Nothobranchius furzeri: one gene and its partner. The protein of the gene in region 2 purifies or fractionates together with the protein of the main gene of each other region. This does not show direct contact. Links are inferred from orthologs where the notes say so. Each region holds a gene or a part of one and is shown on either strand. Other genes may lie near its edges.

Region 1 (5,159 bases), on a different chromosome or scaffold from region 2:
AATTTCATGAGTTTGCTTTTCATAATAATTAGTTTGCTTCCATTTTACTTTTCAAGTCTAATTTATGATTTCATGACTCACTCGATGTAAATTTTAAAGTCAACTATGACATCACAATATGTTGTAATTGTCTTTACATACTATTATGTAGAATCACAAACCTGTGACTTTGATCTTATTTAAGGAATTTATACTGCTTTTCTTTTCTTTATCCTGATTCATATTTTTGGTAATAAAAACATACTTATGACTTAATTTCTGAACTTTTTTCTCAATGGCAGTAACAGACCTCCATACGTTGTGCTTGTAAATTGATTTTCTTATCAATGGATTTCATAAACTATTGATTAAAGTTGTGTTTAATAAGAGGGAGTTTAAGTTACCAAAGAAGGTGAATTGTTTAAAGCAGGATTTAGCGGTTTTTCATGCACACAGCTGTCACATTTGTGTTTCTGAGGCAATTTAATTTAAAAATTCTAGCTTTTTGTGTGTCAGCAGTTCCCAGTTTTGTCTTGAAAAAGCAGGTCGGCTGGTTTTGAAAGCAGTCTTTTGGCAATTTTTAATAACATCATAAACCTGTGTTCTGTTGTTTTTAACACCGTTATTTTTTTTCTTCAACCACCTTTTGGTGGACTTTTCTAAATTTCACCCACTGATTTTTCAGATAATTTTCTTCCGTGAAATTTCCTACTGCAAATAAGCAGTTTCAGCATTTGAACCACAGTGCATCAGTTATTGTTGTAGTTGAGTAAAAGCATTTTGCTACAACTATAATAAAATAAAGATTATCTGCATTAAATTCTCTTTTTTTTCTTAATATTGCAGAAAAGTATTGGGTGTAGCTGAAAAACACCAGCATTTCAGAGTAAAAGGCTTCAAAAGGCTACCTGCCACCTATGAATGTTTATTCAAATAAACCCAAATCACATTCAATCCAAATGATGACAAATAAAAGTGTTGTGAAAGAATAGATGAATAGCTGGCTGTAAAATAAATAAGATTGTAGAAAAAGGTCAAATTTTAATGAATAAGCAAAACTTATCATGGGCACATTGTAATCATCAATCTCTTCAATCTCTTCACAGATAATTGTGCATCACTTAGACACATTTACCGTTCTTGTAAACATTGAGATCTTGAAATAATTTGTTTTGCCTCAGTGCTGTCCATATGCAAACAAAACTACTATAAATGGATGATCCAATTATTTTTGATAGGGTCAAACAGGATTTAATGGTAGAAAAAAGAATTTCCAGGGACAAAAGCTCACTCTGGAGTTATTTAAGCATCATCGGGCTTGTCTGCTGGGGGCCCACATGGCTGAAGCATCTTCTCCATCAAATTGAAGCGAACGCGGGCCTTGCTCTCATTCTCAGCCACGGAGAAGTAGTTTAGCAGGTCAAAGTGTCCCATGTAGGAGCAATATGAGTCACGATGTTGGTTGACCAGCCATTCCCACTTGCTGGTATCAGCATGTCCTGTGCCGATGTACTTTGATTGAAGATGTTCCAGCTGACTGTGGATGTTGTATCGGTCCGTCATTTTCACTCAAAGACTCTGGATGGGGAAAGGATAGAAAAACATCACCCGTGATGTTCTTTAAAATCATTTATATAAAAAAATTCTACATTTTCTAGAATATTAGGCTGATTCATTAGACGTTGTTCTTGTACAATGTTGTTTGTAAAGGTCAATCTTGTTTGATTCACCAGGGAAAGAAGTCCTTTAAGTTTTAAAATAAACTTGGGGTTTCATCAGTGTCCAGATGAAGATGTACTGTTATTCTTAAAAAGATAATGTGTGCATGCTGTACGTAATTCATGCTGGGATGCAAAAAGCATCACTTGTTTTTACTACATTGTGTCAGAACTCCATACACACATTAGCCTGTATGATGTTGTATAAGGCACATACTGAGCAGGTAAAGCTTTTTAAAATGCTGCTTTCTAGGGATGAACAATATATCAGCATCAATATCTGTATCGGCCGATGTTGGTCAATTTTTAACATATCGGCTCGATAAATAAAACCAGGCCGATATTTTTTCCATCTCGTCTCCATTTGTTCGCCTGTTTCAGAGGGTGAGGGGGGTGATGTGTAATTGTTTAGTCATGTGAACAGTGAATGAAATAATCTCAGACCCATAAATGTGTGTGTTGCGTGTACATAATGTAAATTCAGCTTTAATGTCAGCATATCTGTACCGGCAAATATCAGTTATCAGCCATAACAGTGAGCTCAATATCAGATATCGGTATCAGCCCAAAAATGTCATATCGGTGCATCACTACTGCTTTTCTACATGTTTTAACTTTTAGAACAGCTAAAAAGTTTCAGACTTTTTAACATTGATTTCCAACAATGGTGGAAAGAAGAAAAAAAACCTCCAGCTCAGTCTCTTTTTAATTTGGGTCAGACAAACAAAATAAACGAGTATTTGCAGCTAATCGTAGCAGCAAAAGCTACTTCTTAACAGTATTGATACTATTTATTGACACAATCAGCAGATCGCATGCGCTTTTGATTTAGCAAAAGAAAAGACAACACAAACGCAACAACAAAACCTTAGAAGGTCCCAGGACTAAGTACTGATAACGCAACGTGTGGGTGACTACTTTAATCTGGATGTATGGTGACAACTAGGGAAAAAGACAGAATTAAAGCTTAAAAACTACCACTCCAACATTAAACATCCCAAAAAGACTATTATTTAAAGCAAAATACAAACGAACATTTCAAATATATTGGAAAGGCTAACGATGTTAGCAAAGTTATCTAATTCGTTCATGCAGTGTATTTTTCCACTGCATTCGAATCCTTAATCGCCGTTATTTATGTGAGTTTTATCCAAATGATCAACATTGACATATTAACAAACAAAATACAATTCCAAATATTCGGTCGTTGCCCTTTATTTACACATTTTCTTTGTTGGACAACGTTTGATCTTCCACTCTTTATGCTAACAGTAGCTTAGCTTAGCTAGTCGGTCTTCGTGTAATAAAAGTCTAAATTTAGGCTCCCCTGGAGGGCAAATAATAGCTTCAGCTTCACATCAATTGGTTTTAAAAGAACAAAACACTTACGTAATGTGTACAGAGATCAAGAACTAAAACAAAACAGGTAAATTAATTCTGAGTCGTTCAGGCACTGACAAACGACCACTGCCGGCGCGTTACCCTATGAAATGATCCGGGTAGGAACAAATGTCGTACTGTTCTGATTCCGCTCCATTGGTCAAAGTGTACTTCTTACTCACTCAAAGAAAGTTTTTTTTTTTTTTTTTTTTTAGAAAATCTGGGTACATTAAATACAGTTATTATTTTCTTTGGTTTATTTGTAGGTTAATTGAAAATAGGTTGTGTCTATGTTGCAATCTTTTCTTTTTTATGTTTTAAATTCGTGTGTAGCCTCTATCATCATTCCACACCATTCAAGGGAATACGTCCATTGTTTTTCTTATGCTTCTAAAAACAAATAGTACTACTTGGTCTTCTTCCAAATAAATAGACTGCAGTATTTATTGGCTTTTTCTAAGGATATAAATATGCAAGTGTCTGCAGCAATCATTAGAGTACCTGTGCAGTGAGATAAACTTTTCATCAAAACTGATGTATTCATGTTGTTTTAAAACATTTATCTTAAAACAAATAATCACAGTACAATTTTTCAAATTGCCACATCGAGACTAAATTGCTCAGAATTGCTTAGCACTGGGCTCTCCTGTGGCTGGTATAATGAAATTTTTTCTGTGGATAATGTGTTTGATGATGTTCTGCATTGAGCATGTTTGCTGCCTGTAGAGTTATGACCCTAATTTTCCATCTACCAGCTGTTGCTAATGGCAACCATGATTGGGACAGAAAAATATGAAAATATGGTTAGATTTGGGTTCAGAAATGTTTTGAAATATTTGTTAAAAATTACTCACCTATGATCTTGACTGCTTTTCCTCACTAGGGTCAAAGGGAGCAGTCTTTCCCCAGCAGTCATTAGCAAAGTACACCCTGGACAGGCCACAAGATATCACAGGGACACTGGGACAAACAAACTACCACGTTATGGTAGAGTCGCGTTGTTGTTATCCAACGTGGATGTTTTGTCTCTACAGATAGCACAAGCCTGGAGGAGCTTCTGCTGTGTGGTGGGGTTGCTAATGCTAATGGTCAGTGTTGGGAAAGTTACTTTTAAAAAGTAATTAGGTATAGTTACTGATCACGTCGTTGTCCAAAAAGTAACTAAAAGTAACTAATCACCAAGAAAAATAAACATTTTGTTACCTTTTTTTTCACTAAAGAATGCAAGAAAAATGGGTTCCCCTCTTGATTAAACTTACTTAATTTACTATAAATTACTACAATACTGAAATATAAATGACTAATGACTGGAACATAATAAAATGTATGTCAAAATGTTTTTTTTTTATCAAACTGAATAATTGAAACAGATGGGCACTTAACAGGAGGAACTACAAACAGGAACATTACATTAATCAAGACTATTAAAATGTCACTGTGTGATATTTAACAAGACCCCAATCAGCTCAAAATTATAATTGCAAATATAAACAACTGTAAAGGTTCCTGAGCCTTTAAATGGTCTCTCAGTATAGTGAAATTCCTGAAATAAAAGTAATTTTGCACAGCATTCTAATTTTTCCTGCTTCACATAATTGTGTGTTATTAGTAGCATTTCTGTTGCTGGTAATCTAGTAATGGTGAAATAAATAAACAAACAAATATCCTTTAAAATGACACTAGAAGAGGCACAAATCTGATGGAGGACTTAAATGTACTAACATGGGTAAGACCCAAACACAGAAGAGCTGAAGGTGGGTGGTAAAGACGCACAGGAAGTTCTAATAACACCTGAGCTCCATGATGTCTGAGACTGATGCATCAGTGTTACAGCAGGACTAAAGACATGATCAGAAACAGGTTACAGTTGGATGATCTAGGAAGGTAGAAGATCGTGATGTCTGAGTGGTGAACAGATGAGTGGACCTTCGGGACGTTCCGCTGTCACGCCAAGAAGGGCACGGCTGCAGCAGCGAATCTGCGGGTCTGCAGCCGTAGACTATTCATCACGTCTTCCTTGTTCTTCATGGGCCGTGATGCACTTGGATGAAAACATGCGCCTCTTTAGCTCCCAATCAGCTG
Region 2 (5,103 bases):
AGCGCTACACTGGTTACCGTGACAACCCTACCTGATCGGTTTGCTTTGATCTATTTTGAAAATTCCGATCAAAACCGATAGGGGCGCTATCGGCCGATTACGATCAAATGCCGATCCATCGGTGCATCCCTAATATCGGCATCGGTTCAATAAAAAAAAAAACGGGCCGATATTAACAACCGATATTTTTTTCCATCTCGTCTCCATTTGTTTGCCTGTTTCAGAGGATGAGGGGGTGATGTGTGTTTGTTTAGTCATGTGAACAGTGAATGAAATCATCACATAACCGTAAATGAGTGGTGTGTGTAAATAATAACGTAAATTCAGTTTGAATCATTTTCATTCTATACAAAATCTGCTGATTTTAGAAGCATTAATGACAGTATATCGGTACCTGCAAATATAGATTATAGGCCATAATAGTGATCTTAATATCAGACATCGGTATCAGCCCAAAACTTTTATATCGGTGCATCGCTGAGCTGAGTCATCTGGAACACCAAGGAAGCCATGTCAGAATGCGCTCAGTTACACCATCCCACAGATCCGGGTCCAGAAACTGTCTCGCCTGGGACTCTCCACCCCCATCTGGATTAAGGACTTCCTGACAAACAGACCAAAGTCTGTCAGACTCGGCCCCCACCTCTCCAGCACCGGCGCTCCACAAGGATGTGTTCGGAGTCCCCTCCCGTTTACACATCCGACTGCTCCCCGACCCATCTCTCAAACACCATCATTAAGTTTGTGGATGACACCACTGTGGTTGGACTCATCTCAAGGGGGGATGAGTGGGACTACAGAGATGAGGTCAACAGACTGACTGTGTGGTGTTCAGGAAACAACCTCCAACTGAACACCACAAAAACTGAAGAACTTATCTTGGACTTCAGGAAGGGCAGGGCCGACCCGGCCTTACTTTACATTCACGGGGACTGTGTGGAGAGGGTGCACTCCGTGAGCTTTCTGGGCGTGCAGATCTCTGATGATCTCTCCTGGACTGCAAACACCACAGCGGTGGTAAAAACTTCATGAGAGTGCTCAGAAGGAACGACCTGGAGGAGAGGCTGCTGGTCACATTCTACAGAGCCACCACAAAGGGCATCCAAGCGTACGGCATCACAACATGGTATGCAGGGTGCTCAGCTGCAGACAGGAAAGTACTGCAGAGGGTCATCAGCACAGCCCAGAAGACCACTGGATGCTCTCTGCCCAGCCTGAAGCACATTGCCAACTCTCATTACCCCAGTAGAGCAGGAACATCGAGGACTACTCTCACCCCAGTAACCATCTGTTTGACCCGTTACCGTCAGGCTGATGGTGCAGGTCACATAAAACCAGGGATAGCTTCTTTCCCAGAGCTACCAGAGTAGCAAACGACCACAAAACCAGATGAGCCTGTAAACCCGAGCCACACGTTTACTCTTACTATTAGTGTTTACTCAATATGCTAAAATTCTGCTTAACCTGCACAGAACCTGACTGATGCTGCTACTCTTTCTATACATTTGTAAATATTACTGTTGATTTTACGTTTATTTTATTCCGTATTATTTTACAAATTGCACCAAAGGGAGTGGCACTCCAATGTCGCTGTACAATAACAATAAAGTCTCTTCTATTCCCTAATACTTTTTTCTGGTCAGAATCGGCTCCTGTATGCTACTAGCCTTGTGTTTAAAACAAACCCAGTAAATGGATCGGGGCACCAGAAGATTTAAGGACGCTGGAGCAGAAACAGGTGATGAGGTAATTTCATAAAACCAACACTTCTGCTGCACTGAAGAGTCAGAGCAGCGTTTTTACCTTTAGCAGTGGTTTATTAAAGTCTTCAAGCAACCAGCCGAGATGACGCCGCAGCTCTTTCTACACATTTAATCAGACCACATCGATAACTTGTTAAGGATGACTGCACTATTCTGGAGTATTTTCACATACTTTCATGTTTGGTTTTCTGTGAATTACTCTCATATGACGATCCCTGATAACTTAATCATTTTGTCAGGGCTGGCTTTTCACTGAGCAGAGGGACCGTCTAAACCTCGTGGTAAAAAATTATTTTCATTTTGCAGAAACTCAAACTGATATTTCATTTTAAATATTTATTCCAAAAGATTACTTTAGCAGCAAAAAGTATGCAAATGTTGGAGCGGGTGACTACAGACCCCACTGATGCAGAGTCGTACCGTTCTACACGTCTTCCTGACAGCAGCTGCATCACACCGACGTCGTCTCAACTAAACGCAGATTACGCCAATGTTTTAATCTACAGCACATTGAAGAGTGACCAGCAAAAGGTCAGGCGGCCGTGACGCTGCTGCTTGCGTCTGACTCCTAATTAGTCTAGCAACATAAATGTCAAATTATTTAGTTCAATATAAGGAAGCTAAAGTGGTTTTTAAAAACGTGGCCTCCAGAATGCTCTTCTGAGTAATGGATGCCAGAGGTCTGACGGACATTTCAGCTGTCATCCCACTGTCTCTTTACTAGATCACAAATGTAACGGGTGTGGGACTCTAGTTGTGCCTCAGACTTATATATAAAGTGTTATTTATGAAGCAGGGGCAAATGATTGTGTTGAGGGGCATCAACACCCGGTTAAACAAATCTTGGAAAACCTGCATCCTAGTAAAACATCTGTTTAAATAAACAGTGTGTGTTCTTTACTGAAGGTAGTTAACTAAGGAGTAGCACAAGATGGCCAGTACGTTACTTAAAATACATTTTCTACATTTCCGATAATTACTGATATGGATCAACATGAAGTGTTCCCAGATCCTACTCGTCTCCATCATCCAGACCCTACCTGTGCAGCTCAGGGGCAGACCTGGACCATGGTGACACACAGAGCAGTGGGACTTACCAGACCCTGTTGTTGTTCATCAGCAGCGTCTTCAGCCTCTTTAGCAAAGGGAAGCCGTCCAGTTTTCTCACTTCATTATCAGAGAAATCTACAGTGTCAAACTGGTCCAGAGTAGCTCCGAGGTTTTCCACCACTGGGATCTTATAACCTAAAGATAAAGCAGAGCTAACACTGGTTAGCACACAAACACACACACACACACACACAACACTAACCTAGTCAGTTAGCCGTGGGTAAAGGCCCGAGTTTACCTCGTAAATCCAGCTCTCTGTCTCTCACAGGGTTGGTGTACTGAGCAGCCTGCTCAATCAGCTCCGCAGACAGCTTCACCATGTCGGACACGAACTTGGGCTTTTGTAACCTTTCTACAGCAAACTAAACAGTTTCACAGAGAGGTAAACGCTAACGTATTCCACGCTGCCGCCAGAACAAGAGCTTCTTCTACTTCCGGTTTGTCCGAGGACGAGTCAGTGGTAAATAGTGGTGCTACAGCGCCCCACCTGGAGTGGAGCTGGATCACTCATCAGTGCATAGGTAGGTGTTGAGTATATGGGATTAGATTTGTGCCAATAAGATGTTAAATTTAGTATATTTCCCAATAAAAAGTCCCTGTTAAGGAGCTGCAGCTCGTCTCCCTACTGGAGTTTCACAGTTTGGTAAAACTTCTCCAAGTTGGCAGACTGAGAAAATGCTGAAAAAAATCTAAGCTTTTGCTGCATTTATTTAAAGGAAAAGGTAACAGGGCTAAGTTGTTTAAATATGTGTGAATAGCCTAGCAGCAAATGAATAAAGCAGCAACCTGTAATTCCATGCTGTAGTTCTTTTTTAAACAGTTTTGTTTACCTGTTTTCCCGCTACATTTCGTTTGCAGCTGCAAACTTCCTCAGGCTGACGCTGATGGTGGCGTCACTTCCTTCTCTGTTTATCCGTGAGCAGCAGAGGATGTTGTCGCCCTCTGCTGCCCGCTCTCCCCTCTCCGACGATGCAGTCCCATGCGCGGTCCAACGTGTAAACTCCATCGTCCCTGTTCATGGTCCCACATCCACGTCACCTTATCTCGGTAGCTTCTTTTATTCATCTTTTGTATTTTTGTTGTTCGGTGTTTATGATCCTTGTGTTGTCCCAGTCCATTATATGGTTTTCTCTTGTGCAGTGATCTGTTACGGCTGACTTCTTTATTGTGATTTCTGCTTCTTCTTTTGCTGCTCTTGTGTGTTTTCGACTTGCCTCTTTCTCGCACTCCTTTCTATGTTCTATTGTTCGTGTGTTGAGTTGGCGTCCGGTTTCTCCTATGTATGTTTTATTGCAGAGTTTGCATGGGATTTTGTAAATGACTCCACATTTAAGTCCAGCTAGTATTTTGTCTTTTGGGTGTACTAGTCTGTTTCTAACTGTTGTGTATGGTTTTGTTGGTGTGTTTATGTTGTGTTTTTTCATTGTTGCTCTTATTTTTTCTGTTATGCCTTTAATGTATGGTAGGGTTATCACTGGTTTTGGTTCTTGGCTTTCTGGGTTGCTGGTTCTTTGCTTTGGTTGTTTTTTTCTTTCTGTTGTTGTTTGTTGTTTTCCTTTGTTTATTACCCATGTCGGGTATCCGCAGGTCTTTAAAGCATGTTGTATGTGTTTGTCCTCTTGTTTACGGTCTCTTTCTTCTGTTATTATGTTTGCTCGGTGATATAATGTTCTGATTACTGACATTTTGTATATGGTGGGGTGTTCTGATGTCCATAATAGATATTGGTCTGTGTGTGTTGGTTTCCTATATGTGTTAATGTTTAGGGTCCCTTACTCCCGTCCTCTGCTGCCCACGGATAAACGGAGAAGGAAGTGACGTCACCATCAGCGTCAGCCTGAGGAAGTTTGCAGCCACAAATGAAACGTAGCGGGAAAACAGGTCAACAAAACTGCTCTGTATTTTAAAAAAGAACTACAGCATGGACTTAGAGATACGACACAGCAAGAACACACCTAAGATGAGCAACCTGTAACCCCATAGCTTATGGCAGGCCCTTTTAACATCCATCCATCCATCCATCCATCCATCCGTCCATCCATCCATCCATCCATCCATCCATCCATCCATCCATCCGTCCGTCCGTCCGTCCGTCCGTCCGTCCGTCCGTCCATCCGTCCGTCCATCCATCCATTTTCATCCGCTTATCCGGAGTCAGGTCGCAGGGGCAGTAGCATAACCCCTTGTTTCCACCGGAGCCATCAGCAGCACGTTACTTTATGCGCTGGTT

The links.
Region 1: the proteins of snrpa1 (region 2) and sf3b5 purify together in Homo sapiens (affinity purification with mass spectrometry; 5 studies listed by BioGRID and IntAct, counting the BioPlex papers as one, with this or other methods). This does not show direct contact. The link is inferred for Nothobranchius furzeri from reciprocal best matches to the Homo sapiens genes SNRPA1 and SF3B5.

What each region holds. Positions count from the first base shown.
Region 1 is NC_091752.1:24,289,712-24,294,870, reverse strand, and holds sf3b5 (splicing factor 3B subunit 5), read right to left. Parts: upstream 3,200-5,159; 5' UTR 3,087-3,199; intron 1,558-3,086; 5' UTR 1,543-1,557; coding exon 1,282-1,542; 3' UTR 996-1,281; downstream 1-995. UniProt on the Homo sapiens protein: Component of the 17S U2 SnRNP complex of the spliceosome, a large ribonucleoprotein complex that removes introns from transcribed pre-mRNAs.
Region 2 is NC_091749.1:6,236,759-6,241,861, forward strand, and holds the start of snrpa1 (U2 small nuclear ribonucleoprotein A'), read right to left. Parts: upstream 3,319-5,103; 5' UTR 3,194-3,318; coding exon 3,112-3,193; intron 3,009-3,111; coding exon 2,861-3,008; intron 1-2,860. UniProt on the Homo sapiens protein: Involved in pre-mRNA splicing as component of the spliceosome. Associated with sn-RNP U2, where it contributes to the binding of stem loop IV of U2 snRNA.